Linked DNA regions of Stegostoma tigrinum. The protein of the gene in region 2 interacts with the protein of the main gene of each other region in a pairwise test. Links are inferred from orthologs where the notes say so. Each region holds a gene or a part of one and is shown on either strand. Other genes may lie near its edges.

The links. The genes of interacting proteins can lie anywhere in the genome.
Region 1: the proteins of gopc (region 2) and dpyda.1 interact in a two-hybrid assay, tested with the Homo sapiens proteins (2 studies listed by BioGRID and IntAct). The link is inferred for Stegostoma tigrinum from reciprocal best matches to the Homo sapiens genes GOPC and DPYD.
Region 3: the proteins of gopc (region 2) and rhoq interact in a two-hybrid assay, tested with the Homo sapiens proteins (2 studies listed by BioGRID). The link is inferred for Stegostoma tigrinum from reciprocal best matches to the Homo sapiens genes GOPC and RHOQ.

The regions. Positions count from the first base shown.
Region 1 is NC_081361.1:81,750,428-81,757,408, forward strand, and holds the start of dpyda.1 (dihydropyrimidine dehydrogenase a, tandem duplicate 1), read left to right. Parts: upstream 1-3,899; 5' UTR 3,900-4,126; intron 4,127-4,472; exon of another isoform or gene 4,473-4,578; intron 4,579-4,586; exon of another isoform or gene 4,587-4,702; intron 4,703-5,013; exon of another isoform or gene 5,014-5,338; intron 5,339-6,422; 5' UTR 6,423-6,453; coding exon 6,454-6,552; intron 6,553-6,981.
Region 2 is NC_081357.1:61,385,883-61,393,487, reverse strand, and holds the start of gopc (Golgi-associated PDZ and coiled-coil motif-containing protein), read left to right. Parts: upstream 1-4,504; 5' UTR 4,505-4,506; coding exon 4,507-4,998; intron 4,999-7,605.
Region 3 is NC_081362.1:68,547,852-68,555,287, forward strand, and holds the start of rhoq (rho-related GTP-binding protein RhoQ), read right to left. Parts: upstream 3,083-7,436; 5' UTR 2,549-3,082; coding exon 2,404-2,548; intron 2,109-2,403; coding exon 2,050-2,108; intron 1-2,049. UniProt on the Homo sapiens protein: Plasma membrane-associated small GTPase which cycles between an active GTP-bound and an inactive GDP-bound state. In active state binds to a variety of effector proteins to regulate cellular responses. Involved in epithelial cell polarization processes.

The sequences.
Region 1 (6,981 bases), on a different chromosome or scaffold from region 2:
AGGTGTCCGAAGTTTAATCGCAGTAGGTCTTTGTATTTTAGTTGGTAATGAGTCCCTGACAATGTAGATATAGTTGCGTTTTATATTTTTGATTTCCTTTGTAAATATTCATTACACAAATGATCTATTTTACACATGGAAAGTTGTAACTCCCCAACTAAGCAATATTTTACGATTAAAGAATTTCTTTGCTAACTACAATCATCTTTTCTGTATTTATTTTAAACATAAATTTACCCGTTTATCTTGTAGATTATGTTTGCACTTATTTCATATTGTTTGATCCATGTAACATAAAGCACGAAATCACCTCGCTACATTTAGACCAATGAAATGAATGTGTAATGCTTTCATTTTTTTCCACTCGGCTTCGGAATTTGGGAGGAAGTGGATCTGTCTGAAGTCCTTGTAAGGTGGAGATCTATTTGTGTTTGGCTTCGTGTCTGGGCAGTAGGGGGCGCCCACGATCCGTGTGACGAGGACTCCCCGGTCTGGCTGCTTCATAACTTTATCCTTAAATAACACTGCTGCAAATTAGCAAAGAAAGTGCAAGCTGCAACATGAGGGCCTATAATTGACTGCTTTTTAAAAACATATAAGATGTTAGTGTAAGAGGTACAACCCGCCTTACATGTATTGCGTTTAGTTTATGTTAATAATTGTTATTACATCTCGCACTGACAGTGAATGTTTATAGTTAGTCTGCCAGTTTGTTTTTCTAAACATGTAATAAACGCACTTAACAATTCTAAGGTAATATGTATAATACATATGCTAGTAAATACGAACACTGTTTACATTTGGCAATATCTACAATAAAATATTTAACCCGAATTTTGTTTGATTCAACTGATTCATCACGGTACATATATGCAGATACAGCTAAGTGCTCGTGTTTGTTTGATAATTCTGTACACTCTACAGTTACCTACAAATAACTTTGTTCGTCCACTTCTCTAATGTAGCTGTTTTATCTATTCACACTTAAAAAGGTGGTAAAACCAAAAGTGTGCGAGAAGCGTAGATAGAGTGAACAATTTATACACTAGCTAATATTTTGATGATCTGATTGTTCACTCTCAATAGTTTACATGTTGTCCCCAAAGGCTCATACAGATTGTTGCTGTGTTAATGCTAATTGCAATGGACCTGAACAAACCAGTCCATCTTTAACATGTTATCGATCAAGATTGTTCCTTAGATCGAAGGTAATGACCGATTACTAAAGGAACCATGACGCCAACTTGATTGGAGCGGAAACGTTTTGGGAAACAATGTTGCATGTCCTTTATAAAATATAAATGAGACAGTACCACCAATAAAGTCCACTCAAAGCTCAGATGACCAAAGCCACTCCCTATTGTCGGCTAAAATGGAAGGTGACACTAAGAGTGATGAACAAAATGACTTTGGTAGGCTGGATTCTATTGTATAAAATATATGACAAAATGACAATTTACTGAGACGCAATAAGTCCAATCCGTTTTAAACAAAAAAGGTCTTAATGTTTTACGAAGCTGCATATCGCTGTAATTCTCCGTAAAAAGAAAACAATTTGCATTTTGTGTTTTGCTTACATTTAATGTATACACGCGGATGAGCATCTGTAATAGGGTCTTTGTAATGGCTTAATCCAAGGAAGAAAATAATAAAGTTTGCAATACCTAACTGGTGACGAGAGGTTGTGGTGGGGGCTGGGGGGACGATGTTGGTGTGGGTCTGTTTTCCAAGCTAACCCACTTATAAGCATATGATCCCTCCCCTGCAGAATATGTAGTAAATTTGTGAGAGGCCGAGGTAAATATGCTGAAAGCAGCCTGTACATTTTTGGGCTGGAGTTTTCAGAGTTCCCATCTAAAATCAATCAGGCGAAAAACAATAGAGTAGTAGAGCGATACAAACCTGGCCTCCAGGTGGCAATAGTTCGACACGACTGGTGCCTCGCAAAACTAACGCGGCTCTGTTGCATATTGGCCCACATCTAATAAAGGGCTAGAGCAGGACAGCTTCTGCTCATATGTCGCCCAGTACATCTGAAGATCCGGAGTTCAACTGAACCACCAAGTGTACTGTTTACTACACTGTTAACGGCGGCAACACAGTAAAGACGCGGCGAACTTCCGCTCAGCCTCTGATTTGTTTGAATGGCAGCGTCGGCCGATCAGTCAGTCTCAGATCTGGGAAGCTTCGGTTGGATGTGAAGAACGGGGCATAGCAGCTGGCAGTGAGCAGAGTGCTCCTCTGGGGTTTCAGATGAAGTTGCAATGTCAGGGGGATTGTACACACACACACACACACACACACACACAGAGATTGTCATTGCTTACAGCTTTCCAGTGAATATTTAACAGACATGGATACAAAAGAGAGGAGGTGGTGTGGCGAGGCCACCCTTAACTACTGCAATTGATTGAAATTTGCGCTGCCCCTTTTCTAAACGAAGGCTCCTTACCCACCCCCAGTTATGTATACAATTTAAAGAACTCGCATCCAATCAGGCGGAATCAGCTCCATGTTAATTAGTAGTCTGTCTGGTTGATTTTAGGTGTCGTAAAACAGACACGAACAAATACTGCAGTATTCATGTGGATAGATTTTCAAACCACAGTGTTAATACCTGTTGGCACATGGCTGTAATAATTCTTTTGTGTAGAAATCGAACAATACAGGAAACGCCAATTTCTTTTTCCCCCTCTTTGCGGTCAGTTTGAAATTTTGCTCTGGAATTTGCAAGTGTCACCTCCACACTTCAGTAAATAAATAATGCATCCAGCATCGAGTCTGATGGCTTACAAAGCCAGTCAATTTAGACCTTTGGGCCAATATCTAAGGGTTATTGGCTAAATAAGTTCGCATGTGAAAATAACCGACTTGAATACATCCTTTGCCATATGGAACGCAGGACATACTGGCACATATTCGGTTTTGACAAATAAATGGAAAGACATCGCAAATGAGTAATGGGAGTTGAACTTCACCCTGTTATAAAGCTACAGCATAACTAACACGCGTATCCTTCTCCTTTCAGACGCGATGACAAGAACCAGAAATTCGAAATCTCAACTTACAAATCATTCCAGTACCTGGAACCAAAAGTGTAAGATCCTCGGCACCAGTCCACTACTACTCCCCTCTACCCACCCCGCCAAAAGAAACAAAAAGTAATCCCGTTTGCGGTACACCATTTAGGATGGAAGAGCTTCGGTTTAATACTGATCAGATAATCTACCTGGTGGTTTATTACAACTGTGACCGATTTCACATCCCAACACCGTAAAAAAAAACACATTATTCGCACCCAGTGTGAAAATGGCAGGTTTGAAATCTAAAATCGACGCAAATAAACAGCATATGGCGAGGTTTCAAAGCAATGCTAACTCTATAAGAGGACGTGGCTGGGTTCGAATTTTGATGAGAAAATCCCTTGGTTTTTTATTATTATTAAACTTCAGTCAACATATGTCAGCGTTCAATGCTGGCTGGTCCTGATCCTGAAACCATTCAGAGCTGCTGTTCACTGCGCTGTATATATATGAACAGTGTCCCAGAGGTATTCATCATCTCCTACTGGGAACTCATGAATAAGAGACTATGAAGTGGGGACGTCAGATCTCCTTCAAGTAATCGACCATTAGCATGTTTGGGATCCACGAAATTATGTTAAATGGTACCGAGATGTAATGATCTCTCTCTGGCAAATAAACCATTTCCAAATCTGGTTCCCAACGATTGTGTTTTTTTACTGTGGGGGGAGTGGTGTTGCGGAGTTACATTTATGCGTTGTGACAGGCGACAACTGGTCGTAATTGGAACACTTTGATTAGATTTCTCTCTCTCTCTCTCTGTCTGTAAAGATCTCAGCCGTCTTGTAGCCCCTGGAGCGGAGAGCCGTTACAAAACGCCTAATACAAAAAAAAAGCAAAACAGGGAACCACGTCGGAAAGAACCTACGACTCGAGGGTGGATGGGAGCTGCAGTCAAACCCCGCAACAGCCTCCCCCTCCCCTCCCCACTCCCCACTCCACAAATCCAGAATGCAACCTTCGTAACGGAGGTTGAGAAACACATCGGTAGCGCATGTCGACCCCGGAGGAGATTGAATTTGAGCCTTCAGTGGAAAAGAAAGGTAAGCCCGTGCCTTCAGAGAGAGAGAGAGAGAGAGACCCTTGGAGTGTTAATGGCAACACGGAGTTTCGTCCTCGCTTAGTTTTGTTTTGAATCCTCTGCTGGTTGACTGTGCAGTGATTCCCACCCCCTACCAGCCATGCATCCTCGCAATATCCAGCGCGTACATTAACCGGGCTGATATATATATATATATATATATATATAATGTGTGTGTAATACATATCTTTAAATTTCCTTTTAAAATCTAGTTTCTTTTTCTAAAAACAAAACTGGTTCAAATCACACAGTTTGGTTTACCCTGCAAAGGGACGTGTGAAATGACCAATGTGGGAATCACATCGCCCCGGATCTCTCTGGATCGTTGCGAAATAAGACGACTTTGACAATAGGCTGTTCAAAATGCACGACTATGTCGCGAGAATGAGTGAAAGGCGCCGACATTGTGCTGTGGTACGTTCATTTCGAGTGAAATGTGAATAAAAAAAACAAGCTGCTCGTGATGGCTAATCGCATTATTGAAGGGTAATTGCAGTGCTATTTTGACTAGATGCAACGTGGGAATCAATGAACAAAGGTATTTAGCAGATGATGTCTCTCGGCTGGTACTGCGGGATATTTCAAGGCTCCCAGGATATACAGCATGTTGCCCTGACTGCCTGCGCCCTGCACAGTCATTTTTTTTGGGAATACCATAGCCTGAAGGTGGGCGGTGGGGGTGGGGTGGGGTGTGAGGGTGGGGGGGGGTGGGGTATGAATATGCACCCAGAGGCAGTGGTCTCATAGGAAATGGTGCTAGTAAGTAGTTCGCCTTGTGCACTTTCGATTCACAAGAGCTTTTGTTGCGCTGTGGTTCGGTGTCGCTGCTGCCTGCGTCTGTTAGAGATGAGCTCTCCGTGGTGCTGAAAACGTTCCTCTCTCTCTCTCTCTCTCTCTCTCTCTCACTCTCTCTCTCTCACTCACTCTCGCTCGCTCGTTCTCTGTCTCGGTAGCATTTCTCTCCAGTTCGTCAGGCGCATCGTCTCGCCATTGTAATTTATATGGAAGCAATTAAGTATTTTTTTTAAAAAAAAGCTGGCACGCTGGGCAGGCGAGTATGCGAATACATGCGCATTCCATAGTCTGGATGTCGTATTAATACTAGCTGGGCTGGACTCTGCCGTTCTCCTGCTCATGGTTATCAAGCATAAGGCATTATTTTACAGATATTCTTGTGAGTATTAGGAAATTTACGCGAAATAAATTGATTTTTTTTCTGTATTGCACTGATGTATTTGCTATTGCAATTATGAAAGCCTCGTATGTCTACTGTGGTGGGTGCCGCCAAGGTAACAGTACGTTCTCACAGTTGAACGTCTGATTTTGGCATTTTTTTCCCCAAAACATCAATTTGGAGACTGCCAATGGCAGCAGCCTCGCAGAAAGAACTGGTTTTAGGTGAACATGCACCCGATTGTGTTCTGTAATCTCTGGCGAAATTCTGTCAGGAATTGAAATGGGGAATCGAAATGCTGTGAAAATAGTTACTTCATTCGGTGATGAAATTCGGTATTCAACACAAGCCACTCATTGTTGATTTTGTTCTTTTTTGTGCCAATCTCATCTGTCACGGAGATTTCAGGATGCTGGGCACAGTCAGTCAATAGGCATAAGATGGTATTACAATGTGATAAGGATTAAGTAACCATAAAAAAGAGGCTTTTGCCTGTCCTTTTTTATGGGTTCCACCCCTTTCATAAGCTGAAAAAAGGAGGAAATACCATGCTTGGGAGTGGTGATGCATTGAACAAAAAGATGTATTCTCAGTTACCCCATCACCCAACATCGACAGAGGAATCATAGTAGTAACGGTGCTCAGGGAAATATTGAATTTTTTCCTGTCTCTCTGCTTTCCCTTCATTGTAATTTAGTTAAGGATCTCTGTGTAGAGGCCTGTAAGGGTTTCTTTAGCTGATTCACTTGGAGATTCAGCCTGTTTCAGCCTGTCCATACCTATTGATGAGAACAACTGTCCTTATTGTTGCTCTTTCTTAAAATGACTTCTGAATCGTATATTTTTACACAGTTGATTAGTAAAGATTATCTTTAAATATTTCAAATCAATACTCCCATCACCTACCATTAATACTTTTAATACTTCTGTCACCCACCCACGCACAGTTGTTCCTCCCACTTCCAAATTATTTTCAAGGCAATGTATAATTAGATAAAGGGATTCACAACTAATGAATGAAATTATGTGTCCTTTGTTTTAACCTCCCACCAATCACCCCCACCCTCCCCTCCTGCTACCCCAGGAACCTAGCTGCTGGGCGTCTTTTCGACTCAATGTTCAGGGGAATATTTGCTTTTGAGAATGAAAAATCGAAATTCGAAGAATGCTACCAGCTACGCGTTATTCTGCAAATGCTACGCTGCATCACACAGGTGAGTTACTTAACTCAGTGCTTTTGAAGTCTACCCTTTTCAGATAGGCTGTAATTTCAAATGCCGTACATTTGGAGACAGATATCAAGTACACTAAATCGTCGCCAATTCTGGTCGTACTTCAAAATGCATTTTATTCATTTTCCCTTTGCAGAATGGCACTGATGAAAACTCGACTTGCTCTGTACTGAGGGAACGACTACTCAGATTCATTCTTTGGATGCCGTCTTTGTTGATAATGGGTGTGGATTTTTGGCATTGGCTAAATGTTGCTAGATTTATTCAGACTCTCTTCGGTGACGGGTATTCTTGGGTGTATAATACGGATTACGTTGTTATTGCTTAAGAATACGCGTAGTCGAGGAGAGTTAAGTCTTCGCACCTCAATGGACTAAAACCAAATGTACTTTTGCATAAAGGAATTGTGGG
Region 2 (7,605 bases):
AATTTTGCGCAAAACAACACATAATCCATGAACAGGACAATGAAAGTAGAATGATTGTTAGTAACACCATTGTTTACTCTCACCAAGGCCAGATTGCTGAAAAAAATTTCTATACCAGAGAAAGCAACATCTAGATATGTGAAGCCATTGAATTATTTCAGTTAAAAAAGTATTTACATTGCTATTAATTATTTTCCTTAAAAATAGTGTCTTACAATCCCAGATATATTTCTACTTTAAAACTAAATATTTCAATATATTTTATTCATTCATTCACAGGATGAGGACATTGCTGCCTAGGCCAGCATTTATTGACTATCCATAATCCCCCATGGAGTTACATTGACCAGGCCAGGTAAGAATGTCAGTTTTCCTCCCTAAGTGAACCACGTAGGTTTTTCTGACAATCAACGATGGATTCTTGGTTTAAGTGCAGTTAAAAGTTAAATCTCCAACAATTCTGCAGGAATATACATTGACCTATCTCCCTAACATTTTGCACGTGAGTTTGCACTGATACTCTCTGTAAATATGGCAAATTTGAATTGGGATCATCAATTACACCCAATATATTCTTGGACTTAACGAAACAAAACCATTCGGGAACAACAAATCTGAATTAAATCAATAACCTACAAAACAGGCATCAGCTCAGTGTGTGGGAAATGTCTTACAGAACATATCAATCGAAGTTCAAAGCCAATATTTGTTAACCACTATAGATCTGGACTCTATATCAAGGAATGGTTTTGTAGGATGATTAAAACTATCTTGCAGGAGGTCATTTGACCCCTGATTCTTGTATCTTATGTAAACTCAGTCTTCCCAGACTGTGTTCTGTACCCACTTTTCAACACTGATTCATTATCTTTTTCCATGACATTCGGAGCTGTCCATCAGTAGCCATTTGGCGAAGCACCTCATAGCTTAATGGCCTTCTGTTCAAAATTTTTCTTCCCTAGATATGAAATGTGACATTTAAATAAAGATCCATCGCTGACACAAGTCAGACTGTCAAATTTTCAGAGTTCCCTAGATAATGGGGTGTCCCTCTGGATTGGAAAATTTCACATGTCACTCTGCTGCTTAAGAACGACAAACGAGGAAACCAGGAATTGCACATCAGTTAGCCTAACATCTGTGGTGGCGAAATTGCTGGAGTCTGCAATTATGGATAAGGTGATTGAACACCTCAAACTTTTTAATTAATCAAGGAGAGTCCACATGAAGTCATGACAGGTAGTCATATCTAACAAACCTTACTGAAATTTTTAAGGTAATGAAGAAGATGACTTGGGGGTTCAGGTGCATTGATCTTTAAAAAGCCAGAGACAGATGGAGAAAATGATCAGAAAGGTTAATAGAATGCTGGCCTTTAATATTTAGAGGACTAAGAGTATAAGGAGGCAGACATTCTGCTGCGGCTACATAAAACTCTGCCCAATAGTATCAATGTGGATTTCACCAGCTTCAAAATCTCCCCTCCCCCCACTGCATCCCAAAACCAGCCCAGCTGGTCGCAGCCTGCCTAACCTGTTCTTCCTCTCACCTATCCCCTCCTCCCACCTCAATTTCCTACCTACTAACCTCATCCTGCCCCCTTGACCTATCCGTCCTCCCTGGACTGACCTATCACCTCCCTACCTCCCCACCCGTACTCTCCTCTCCACCTATCTTCTGCTCTATCCATCTCCAGTCCGCCTCCCCCTCTCTCCCTAGTTATTTCAGAGTCCTCTCCCCATCCCCCTTTTCTGATGAAGAGTCTAGGCCCGAAACGTCAACTTTTGTGCTCCTAGGATGCTGCTTGGCCTGCTGTGTTCATCCAGCTCCACACTTTGTTAGATAACCAAGTGTGAAGCTGGATGAACACAGCAGGCCAAGCAGCATCTCCGGAGCACAAAAGCTGATGTTTCGGGCCTAGACCCTTCATCAGTGTCTCCGATGAAGGGTCTAGGCCCGAAACGTCAGCTTTTGTGCTCCTGAGATGCTGCTTGGCCTGCTGTGTTCATCCAGCTTCACACTTGGTTATCTTGGATTCTCCAGCATCTGCAGTTCCCCTCATGCCTCCACATTTTGTTAGCTGGTTAGACCCCAGTTGGAATATTGTCGATATATCTATGCGACCTACCTTAGAGAAAGGATTTATTATTAGCCTTGGAGGGAGTAAAACATGAATGACTACTTGACTTCAAGGGCTAAATTACTATGCAGGTTAGGCCTGTTTTCTCTAGAATTTAGAAAATTAATGGGTGATCTGATTATCATTTTCAAGATATTAACAGGAAACGACAGTGTAGATAAAGATAATCTGTTTCCATTGGTTGGGGATTCTAGAACTGGGGGATATAGTCTAAAAGTTAGGGCCAGACCATTCAAAAAAGTATTAGGAAGCATATACAAGGGTGGTAGATAGCGAGTTTTGAGAAGATTTGTAGCTCAGGTTGAGGTTCTGGATGTGATCACCAACCCAAGGAAACCTAAACAGATAAATAGAAAGCGGGACATAACGCCAGCGCTTCACCGGAGGCTCACTGATGATGTTACCTAGAATGGTGACGAAACATCTGAAAACAAACCTTCCAGCTCAGCGAGCAAACTTACATCCAGAAGGGTGGAAGATGTTTGGAATGCTCTTTCAAACAAGGCAGTTGATGCTAGATCCATTGTTTCTTTTAAAGTTGAGGGTTCTTTTGTTAAACAAAGCCAGCTATAATACCAAAGGCAGGTCTATGGGGTTAGGCCATAAATCAGCCCTGATTTCATTGAATGGTGAGACAGGCTTGAGGGGCTGAATAGACTACTCCTGTTCCTTTAAACTGCTCTTCTCTGAATGACTGGACATTATTAAGCCAGGTCTTGTGAACATTTTCTGCTGTTGTGAAATTAGCAAACTGCTTAACAAATACCCACCACTGGATAAGCAGAAAATTTCTCCAAATAAATATTGCAAAGATTGAAAAATTCAATCTATACTCCAATCTGATCCCTAGCTGCCAATGCCATCCTTCTCCCTGGCATCTGTATGACACTAAACTAGACTGTTCCCAATATTGGTGTTATATATGACCCCGAGGGGAGCTTCTGGCCACATATTCACAGTATCATTAATGCATCCAATGTCAACCTCTGTAACATCATACAATTCTGACACTGTTTCATTTGTTGTGCTTTTGAAACTCATCCAAGTCATTGTTCCCTCCAAATTTGACTATGCCAGAGTTCTCCTTGTTCTGCTCTCAAAGAGTGTTCTACCCTTTGTGAACCTGAACTTATCCAACACTGCACTGCCCATGTACTCATCAACATCAAAGCCCATTCATGTCCTCTTTTCACCCTATATTCTTCATCTCCTCCAGTCCCACAACCCTCTGATCTGATTTGATTGATTTATTGTCAAGTGTAGCTAAGTACAGTGAAAAGCATTGTTTATGAGCAGTACAGGCAGATCATAGTAAGCAAGGACATACAGATTGTAGGGAGAAAAACAAAACTAGACAGATTCATACAAGTTGCATTGCACAGGGTGTGTGCTAGGGTCAAGATCAACATTAGCAAAGCAGCATTATTTGAAGTTAGAGAGTCCATTCATCAGTCTAATAATGGCAGGGAAGAAGCTGTTCTTGAACTTGCTGGTGTGTGTACAAGCTACTGTATCTTCTGCCTGAAGGAGGAGCTTATAAGAGACCTTGTGAACATGTCAAATTTCCTGACTGGCTGAGGAAGGAGAGGCTTTACTGTGCCTCCCTGACTGTTGCATTTATGTGGGATATCTAGGACAGGTTGTCGGTTATTGTCACTCCTAGAAACTTGACAGCCTCATCCTCTCAACCTCAGCTCTGCTGATGGAGATGGGGGCGTGTTCTTCATCCTTCTTTCTGAAATCAATGATCAGTTCTTTAGTTTTGCTGAAGTTGAGTGAGAGGTTGTTTTCAATGCACCAAATCACCAAGCCCTCTATCTCCTTTCTGTACTCTGACTTGTCCTCTGATCACCTGACTTCTTCCAATTCAGATTCCCAGACATTAAACACTCCACCACCAGTGGCTGCACTAGCAATTTAGTCCCAATTTCTGAAAATATTCCATAAAATTCTCTGCCTTCCCACCTCATTTCTCTTCTTCGAAATGCGCCTTGGAAGCGACTTCTGGCCAATGTTTTCGTTCAAAATAAGAAATTGAAGAAGAAACTCAGTAATAGATCAGATGTCGCTTTCTCTCCACAGATGCTGCCAGCCCTGGTGAGTTTCTTCAGCAATTTCTGCTTTGGTTTCAGATCTTGTGCATCCGCAGTGTTCTGTTGCACTTCTAAGTTTTGGTTCAAAAGCTCCTGGACGGGGCGCTTCGTCATATTTTACACTGTACAACAGGAAGAGGCGAGTTGTGTTCAAGGCGCCATATAAATTCAAGTTGTTGCTGTTGCGGGGCGGCGGGGGTGTGTGTGAGTGGGTGCGCGTGCGGGCCGTGGGCGGGGTTTCTGCCGCGCGTTCTGGCTCTGCCCCCTTTCTCCATGGTGACGGTTCGAACGACCGTTCCTCGCTCCACTCGCTCGGCCTTCTACTGTTGTGGCAGGCGCGAGCAATCGAGAGTGGGCTCCTTGACAACCGGAACCGGAGGCGGCGCCGCGGTCCACGGAGGAGGAGGAGGAGGAAGAAGAGGAAGAAAGAGACGAAACTCCGGGCACACGGTACAGGGCTGCGGGTCGGAGTCCCCAACCGCCATCTGCTCCCTTCTCTCCCGTCCTGCAGCGTCAACTATGGCCTCCTCGGCCGGGGCTCCGCCGGCAGCGGCAGCCGGCCCTTCCATGTTCCGCTGGCTGGAGGTGCTGGAGAAGGAGTTTGACAAGGCCTTCGTGGATGTGGACCTGCTCCTGGGGGAGATCGACCCCGACCAGTCCGAGATCACCTACGAGGGCCGCCAGAAGATGACGGCGCTCAGCTCCTGCTTCGCGCAGCTTTGTCACAAGGCGCAGACTGTCTTCCAGATCAACCATAAACTGGAGGTGAGCCCAGGGGTTGAATGTTTGCTGTGGGAATAGAGAACCCCGCCCACCCCGTCTCCCTTACTGAGGATCTGCAGATTAGTGTGAATATCTCAATAGCCCCCGTCCACCACATTGGATCAGCCCCATACTGTGAGTCAGTACACTAGTATCAATACTGTATCTCAATATAATCTTGTCCATTAGGTCAGCCTCTGAGGATCAATATAGTGATGTTACTATGGCAATTGAGACCCCCTTGCATTGTCCATCCATCTCCTTCGTGTCAGTTTCTATAGAGATCTCTCATTGCATCAGACCTTTGCTGCGGGCCCATAAGTCACTGTTAATATCTTAATAGAAATCCCTCATTAGATTATCCTTTTACTGAATATTGCACCACAGAGAAAAAATAAACTCCTGAATTAAGGGTCTAATGATGACCATGAAACCATTGGCAGTCATCAGAAAAATTCATCTGGTTCACTAAAGTCTTTTTGGCTGTAAATGCTGGCTTAGTCAAAGATGACTACATCCTGTCAGTGAATTTAAAATAAAAGACCTTCTCTCCAAATTGGATCACTCCACTCTCTGAGGGTCAATATGCTAATTAAATAGCTCACTAGAGATCACGTTGAATTCTGCTCTTGCTGAGGATCAATGCAGTAACTATTATTAGTATCTCAATAAAGAATTGGATTAGCCCGTATATGATAAACCTTTAATATACTGGGGATCAGTATATTACTGATCATATCTCAACAGAGATCCACCTCCATGGTATCAATCTTATACTGATGTCAAAACAGTAACATTAATATCTCAATAGAAATACCTGTTTAGATCAATCCCTTTCTGATACTGACTATATTAATATCAATGTATAGAACTGAATAGCAAAATTTCTTATAGTTGTCTAAAAAGGAAAATAACGTTTAACCAACTTATTACAAGTTTTCGAAAAAGTAGCGTAAGTGTTATTGTGGTAGTTTCCCTATCTGTGAGCCAGGAGGCCTGGGTCATGTCCTGTCTGCTGTAGGGGAGTTTCATAACATTTCTGAACAGATTGGTTCTAAAATCAAAAGAAAGAGTAATATGCACACTGGTTAAGGAGCAGACCATTGATTGACGATAATGTGGTGGCCAAGTGGTATAGTTACTGAACTAGGAATCCAGATAATGTTCTGGGTAACAAGATTCAAATCCCACCGTGGCAGCTAGTGAAATTTTAATGCAAAATAATCATCTAATGATCATAAGACCATTGTTGGTGTGCAAAAACCTAACATGTTAACAAACATCTTTTAGTTAAGAATATTGCCATAGTTCACCTGGTCTGGCATACATGTGATTGACTGTTAACTGCCATCTGATGGCCCCGCAAGCCGTTCTGTTGTACCAACTGCTAGAAGCTCTCAATAAAGGAATGAAACTGGAAAGATCACCGGGCATGAACCCAGACACTGGAAATGACAATGGGCAAATTCAGCTCTGCCAACCCTACAAAGTCCTTTTTGCTAACTTCTGGGGATTAGTGGGAAAATTGGCAAAGTTGTCTCTTGAATTAGTCAAGCAACAGCCTCTCAACGGCATTGTGGATCTGCTAATAGCACATGGGCTGCAGCAGTTCGAGAAGGCAGCTCACACCCATCTTCTCAAGAGCAACTAGGAATAGGCAATTCAGGCAACAACACCCATGTCCCAAATGGTAATATTTAGTTATTTTTAATTAACAAATTCCAAAGATTTAACTTGTCCAGCCATATAAATACAGTGGCTCCTGGGTGTAGGTCAGAGGCCTGAAATTCTGTGGTAATTTCCTCATCACCTGACTCCCACATTCTGTCCCGACATTTGCCGTGCACAAAGTGGGAGTATATTGAAATGCAGCCCACTTTCCTGGATGAGTGCAGCGCCAATAACACTCAAGATCTTCAGCAACATCCAGCTCAGTGAAAACTGCTTAATCAGCACTCTATCCACAATGTTAAATATTCACACCCTCCACCAGTCGTGGGCAGTGATAACAGTATGTACTAGCTACAAAATAAGCTAAAGCAACTTCTTCAGTACTTTACAAAACCTCAGCGTCTACAACCTAGAAAGTAGCAGTGCATGGAAACACCATCCTGACTTCAAATTATATTTATTCCAGTTCCCTCTCCCCATCCCCCTCTCTGATGAAAGGTCTAGGCCCGAAACGTCAGCTTTTGTGCTCCTGAGATGCTGCTTGGCCTGCTGTGTTCATCCAGCCTCACATTTTATTATCTTCAAATTATATGTGTTTGACTGTTGCTGGGTCAAATTCCATTCTCTAACACAGCTGGTAGGTACCTACATCAAATATACTGCAACTGTTCAGGAATACAATTGTGAGCAGTTATGGGTAAGCAATAAATGATGGCCTTACCAGCATCACTTATTAATGATTCTTTTTGCTACAGCGATGTATTGTTTAAAAACTTCAGTAATTTATCATCAGATGCGGTTTGAGCTGCAATTTGTGGAAAATACTGAGTAGTTCTAACCATTTTGTTATAGGTTCCAGTACAGAAAAGAAACAACTCAATCAATTTTAAAAGTATAAAGGTGGTTCTCCAACACCTGAAAAACTAGATGCTTTTCTTC
Region 3 (7,436 bases), on a different chromosome or scaffold from region 2:
GCAGTCTGCTTAAAATGTAGTATTTTAAAGTGCAGGTTGTCAAACTTTGAATCACAAGTGGATCCAGTCTTCCTTCATGAATGATTGCAAGGGGTAAAGTCATACACGGACTCCCACAGTTTCTGAGCATATAAACTGACCAAAGTCACTAGAATAGCCAACACAAGTCCATGTGTCACAAATGAAGACCAAAACATGATGGGTCTAGAGCTGCAGACTTCACTATTACCACCTTCAAATTTATTTGTTTTGAAAAAATGTTCTTTACAATACTAATCAAGTACTGCTGATAACTCAAGGAAGTATTAAACTTTCCACCCAAATAAAATGCAATGTTTTAAATTTGAAAAGGCCATGTTTAGGAGAATTAATGAAGAATTATGCCAATTAAAATGAGCATAATCAGAAGTTTAATAGAACCAATTTCTTGAGCAACTGAACAACTAACTTGGCATTACCTGCTAAAAATATAACTATGCCTGTTTGTACTGTAACAATTACATGTTACAGGTAGCAGGCAGCTGCATTTACTTTAAGGTTACATTTTTGCAGACTGTATTCTTCATTTTAAAAAGTCTCAATTTGAATGTACATAGATTAGAAGCACTAACATTTCCAATAAATATTGGATAATTTAAGAAATTGTACATAAAAAGGGGAAAATTGTCCACATTCACAGCAAATATGGAAACAGTAAAAACACAGCTGGAGCATACTGGTCATTGATCTCAGGTTGAACAATACCAGGGAAAATATTAGATATCTGATTTTTTTAAAGTTCTTTGACTATATAAAAGCTCACATGGTCATTTATTTGATTGAATGATTTAATCTCCAGCAAGTGTCCATGCAGCACAAATTCCTTGTGCAATTTTCAAAATTTACAATTCTTCCTCCCACCCCCATATAAAAACTTACCTTTTTACCCAAAGCATTTATCTATTAATTTGAACTCAGTAGCTGACAAATACTAATACCTATCCATAGCATAACCTGGCTCATACAAAGTAAAACAAAAAGGTTTATTTGCACAAATTAACAAGAAACTCAAATCCAAAAATGTACATTTATAAAATCCTAATATCTTTCTGACTTAATGTGCTGCCATCATGATCATCCAACTTTCTTGGCATTTCTTTGGCAAACGACAATTTGAAAATAAAAGCTACCCTGATTATCAAAAGGGTATTTTTCCTCAACTTCAGCTCAAAACATTCTTGAGCACCAAAGAGCTGAAAGTGCAAATGGGACATCTGGAGAGTCGGTGAATGATGGGGTCAATAGTCTATCTCCTTATCCACTGAAATTTATCAATAGAAAAATAAATAAAGCCAAGGATAGAGAAGGAAATAAGGTAAATTATGAGTTAAATTACACAGAGAGAAAACTAGTAAGATTTTATTAAGAAAACGCAAGAAGGAACATTTCAAAGCAACAAACTCTTAGAACAATTTACTAATTATGGGGGTGAGACTCCCCAAGTTTTCGATTGTCTCTTTTCTGACCCTAAATACTTGAATTTGAATTGCAGAAACACACATCTTGTTCACAAAATATCCTTATGGTGTGAAATAGCAGCAATAACTGGCTGTGGGGAGTTCAATTTGTGTCTATGGAACAAATCCAGCAATTTCACAACACTGACACAAGGCGGTTTGATGGGGAGTTTCAGTTTTGCAAAGTGAACAGTCATTCACAACTCATGGTCTATTTCTTCCTCACCACAAATTGCTAGGGGGGGTTGGGGGGGGGAGAATGGTGCAGTGGTTTGGGCAGTAGAGTCGGCCAATGCTGTGAGCTTGCCATTCCTTTCCAACTGTGTTTGGGACATTGACATAAAAGAGCCATCCCAACTTTAAAAACCTTCCCCAGGGAAATCAGCTCAAATAAAACAGAAACAGACATTTTCACTCAGACTAAGAAAATAAGTCATGTGTCACATTCTGTCATAAGATAGTTATTAGAGATTGCTAAACTTCCCTACACTAAAAGACACATCATCCAACATAGATAAGAACAGAACGTTTGTTTTTATTTTTAAAATCTCACCTGTCCTGCAGTATCATAAAGTCCAAGAAGATACTGTTTACCTCCCACGGTGACAGTGACTGGTCAAACAGGAAAAGGATACATATATTACTAGTTATATGGAAATACTACAGTAATTGGCACAGTAATGTAGCGAATGTTTCTAATTAATAGCGGATGGAACATGCATCCAAAAGACAGACGTCTGATTGAAAGACTATGGCCAGACAGTGAAACTTTATTGAAACTTTCCCAAAAAGTTCGCGTTCAAGCTTTAAGAGCTGGGATGAACTCGGAAACAAAAAAAAGACGAATTAAAAGTTACACCTTTTTTTACAAGAAATGTAGCTAGACATTTCTAAAGAAAATAGTTACCCGCGTAATGGTCGAACACAGTGGGCACATATTCCTCTGGAAAAGCATCGTTCGCGTAGCTCATCAGCAAACAAGTTTTGCCCACCGCTCCATCTCCGATCACCACGCACTTCAGCATACTCCTCGGACCTGTTCCATTGGCCATGGTGCGGCAGCTTCATTGCCTCAGCAACACCTTCCCACCAGGGCATGGCAAAGGTGCCATTTTCCACATGTTCAGCCTGTTCTGTGCTTCTCAAACAAATGCATTCCACACCTCACACCTCCCCCCCGCCCAACCCGTGAACAAAAAGCAAAACAGCTAAAAACAAAAGCTTTTAATTTTAACAGGAAAACTGGCGGCGACTTTCCTCTCCGACGGATCTGGATGTGTCAGGAGGACGAGCTCTCTGACAACATGCACAAATTCCTCGCTGCCCACACTCTCAGTTAGGTTCAAACACGAGAGTTTTTCCACATCTGGATTCCCTTCCCCATGCAGCAGGCGGAGGTGAATGGCAATTCTTTTTTTTAAAAAAAACTCTGTGCCTTTCCCCTTCAGTCACTTTTCCCACTGCGTGCCTGGCTCCTCTTTCTATGTATGTGTTAAGTGTGTCTCCTTTCCAGCCCCTCTCCTGGCCAGTAGCCACACTCCAGCTGCATTGTACAAGCAGCCCCGAACTTCGCCTGGCCGAGGGGGCGGGTGGGTGGGGATAGCGGCTGATTGACAGCTCGCTCGGCCAGCCGGCGGCCCTCATCGACCGGCCCCAGCCAATGTCGAGAGTACTAGGGCGAGTGCTTCCCATAGCACAAACCGAGAGGGAGAGTCATTGTATCACTGCTGCAGATATCATGTGACAAGAAAGTGACCTCATCCATTCCGAGCAGCGCTGAGATTTAAAACAAGAGTCACAGCGACACTGCCTATAAAGCTAGAACACCCACTTGTAAGATACCTTCCTGCAGACAAAAGGCTCGCCAGAGATATAACTATCTTTCATATCATTCACCGCCCCCTCCCCTTTTCTGTTGTTGTGAAGTGATCATGTTACTTTTAACACAACGTCACAGCAATTGCAGGATGCATTTCAAACAAGGAAATTCCGCCTTAGGATGTTTTCCACTGGGGTATACGCGTGTTATGTGTCGTATAGTCAGCACCATTCTTCATTCACTCGGTAAATCGCCTGCTAAACCCTAATGTCAACCCTAAAATTGGAAGGCATGGAAGCGGTCAGGAGGACTGCTCTCCTTCCAATTTTCCCTTCACTTCGCAGGCCTGCACTTCATGAGCATCCCGTCAAACTGAGAGCCACGTAGTCTGATTGTGGCACCCACTGCCTCCCAGTTTAATTCAGGGAGCAGGAAGCTACAATCAGTCTCTCCTAGGTCATCGAGAGGCCATTGATCCGAACAACACAGCTACCGACATTCCACAGCCGAAATCAGAGATTAATCTTGTATCAGAGATAATGGGAACTGCAGATGCTGGAGAATCCAAGATAATAAAGTGTGAAGCTGGAATGAACACAGCAGGCCAAGCAGCATCTCAGGAGCACAAAAGCTGACGTTTCGGGCCTAGACTCTTCATCGGAGAGCTCTGATGAATGGTCTAGGCCCGAAACGTCAGCTTTTGTGCTCCTGAGATGCTGTTTGGCCTGCTGTGTTCATCCAGCTTCACACTTTATTATCAGAGATTAATCTTATTGTTGATCACCATTTGTATAAAACACTTCTGAGCATGATTGAAATTTCCATTCATTAGTTGCACGGTGTGCTACCTTATTTAACTGTGCTACACTCAAGAACAAAATGTCCCCCATAATGCCAATACAAGCCAAAATGTTTATCTTCCACTCATGCAAGTAGCTGATGCTTCACCTCAAATTAACTTCCTAATTGCCATTTTGCCTTGCGCCATGCTTGCCCACTAAACTCAGTTACCTTTCGTAAATCTGACCTGCCTTAAATTGCTTTTTTTTCCTGTCTGTCCCTACCTTTCCCACTGTATTTACATTGAAGGTGGATTTTTCATTGAATTCTCCAGTTTTCCCTGTAGGTTACCCAATTTACAGTGCTGCAGCAGGCTTTTCATTCTAGTTGGCATGTTTGTGTTTGATATGTGCCTCCTCAGTCTATTTCATCTGACCTTATCTGCCTATCTTTCCACTTCTCCCTCACTCGAGAACTTATCTAATTTCCTTTAAAGGCATCTAAGCTATTCAATTCAACCATCCCATATGGTAGCAGGTTCCACATTCTAACTATTCTTTTCCACTATTTATAAACTACAGGCTGAGTCACAACTGCGCTAAGGCTCATATCTGAATCACACATATTTTTGACACCAACTTCCCAATGTTGCAGAGAATTAACTATAGTATATCATATTTGAGAGAGAAAATTAAACTTCTTGAAAAGCTCAAGTCTCCTCTGACTTTGCTTTGTTCAAAACATGCTGGAAAATGACTGCTTTTTAACAAGCCACCTAATGACAACATTCTGTACAGGCACCATGAACCAGAAAACACACAGTTGACACAGACATCTGAAGTCTTTGATTCTACAGCACTGCAGCAAAACCTTAAAGGCCCAGGAACTGCTGCTGAGGATTGGGGGTGGTACTGAAGTTTTCTGTCAACAGAAATCTTCAGATCAGGGACCGTTGTCAATTATTTTTATAAGTGAGTCTTGCTATTTATGTCAGTGGTTACACTCTGTGGAAGTCAGGGAGAATGGAGGTCACAAGCAGAAAGCTACAAATTGAATAGAAGAAACTAATAACACAACGTATGGAGTTGTAAGCTCATTGCAAAGGTCAGAAATAAGATTGTTTTTTAATCATGAAATACAAATATCTTTATCGGATATAGAGAGAATTGCTTGTGTGTTATATATCAATTGCTACAGTTAAGGGAAGAATAACGAGGGCAGAATCATAAATAACAAGACAATAGACTAGAGAGAATTAAATTGCACAATAAAAATAAAATATCTGAGATTTATAAGAAGTTAATGTCCTTTTCAGTTGTTTGTTGTTGGGATGTGAACAGCACTAGAAAAACTACATTTGTTGTCCATTCCATTATGGTATTTGTGGGTCCAGTCCTTGATCTACTACAGTTCTTCTGATGATGGTACTCACACAATAATGTTGGATAGAGAATTCTAGGTACAAAAACAAAGTTGCTGGAAAAGCTCAGCAGGTCTGGCAGCATCTGTGAAGAGAAAATCAGAGTTAACATTTTGCAACCGGTGACCCTTTGCCAGAGCCTTCTGAGGGAGGACCACTGGACCCAAAATATTAACTCTGTTTTTTACTTCACAGATGCTGCCAGACCTGCAGACCTTTGTTTTTGTTCCTGATTTACATCATCCGCAATTCTTTCGGTTTTTATTTAGAGAATTCTAGGTATCTGATTCACACATAAGTAGGGAACAGTAGTAAGTGATCAAGTCAGGGAAAATGCCAGGGAAGCTGGAGGTGATGGTATTCACATAGTAACAGAACTTCCAGCAGCAAATGGTGATGGTGAGAGAGGGCACTGAGGACAGGAGCTCAAGCAAGTGTGCCAGGACTCTGGCAGCAGGTGATGATGGTGAGGGAGGGCAGCTGGAGCAGTCAAACGGACCATTTCTTGAAAAAGGATGTTTTGGGGGAAATAGGACGCACAGGGAGAAGTGCGAAAGATCAAATAATTCCACGACCTAATATAAACCAAAGGCTTCAAAAATGTCATTTGGGCTCTGAATTTCAGCTACCACCTTCATCCATGTGACAGTTAAAGCTTTCAGCAGCCTTAATTTCCAATTCCTCCCCATGTGTCTACAGGATTCATCTTTAATTCAATATTTGAGTTTAGTTTTGTAAGACCAGGCTTTATCACAGCCCACTTCGCACAGTTTTAACTTAAAAATCAAACTAGACAAGTGTCAACTTTTCCAGACAAAAGAATGATCCCTTGGGCGCTTCATTACCAAGGAAGGCATCATTGATGATTGTAGAGGTGCTCTAGCCTACGACTGGGAGTGCACTCTATGGGGTTCCTTTGTCTAATGGGATATTATAGGAGGCTTGTGCAAGGCTAATCACAGTTGGCTGCCTCACACTATGATATGCTGAGAAAATGAAAGAATACTGAAGGACTGTTTGGAAAAGGATGTGCGAGGTGGGATACTTTGTGGAGCATCGCAGGGAGTTGGACCAGAACAGGTGAAGTCCTTAGCTTCCCAGATTTCAATCTCCCTTTCATATGGAAACTGATTTAAGATTATTTGGCTCAGGAATGGTGTTGTCACAGATTCAAGGGCAAGAAAGAGTGACTGTAACTTATATTTGTTGGAATCTCAATATGGAGTGTTACTCCAGCATGAACTCAAACTGCAAGCTTTAAGGTAGACTTTTTCCCAGCCATTCAGAAACATTTTGGTGGATCCTGAGCTTGAAGCATTTGCCAACAGCAATCCACTCAGCTACTTTCAATCATCCACCAAGCTTGGAGTTTCATTGGGTCACTGAATACATTGGGTTTTGCTTCAAGATTCTGTACAGGTCATGTAAGTGGTAATGCCCTTAGTCTGAAGGCAGACTACAGGTCAGGCAAAGTAATGCAAATGCAGATGCCCTTAGCCTGTAGGCTGACTACAGGAGGGAACTCGCCCTCTGCCCAGTTGAAGTTGCAGTGGCTGACACCAAGCCACAAGCAAAGGACAATGTTCAGACCCAGATTCCCAATGACATTCAAGCTAAGATTCAGTGGAATGTTAGCTTTGCACATGAGAGTGAGATCACCCACAATAGTGTTCAGGTCAGTCAGGTCTCTAAGATTCATTTGGTCAATGAACCTTGTTGCTTCAGTTGCTACCTCCCAGCACCAGCACTGTGGGTGATCTAACTTGGAGTCTGGATCCCCTATAAGATTCCAATACAGCTCAGGGAGTGATAAGGTCTTCTCAAGCAAATGCTGGATATCACCCTACTCTTTGCCGTTTGACCAGATTGGTGATACAAGCAAAGAATAGAGCCGCTGATATGGACTCAAATATTCTAGCTA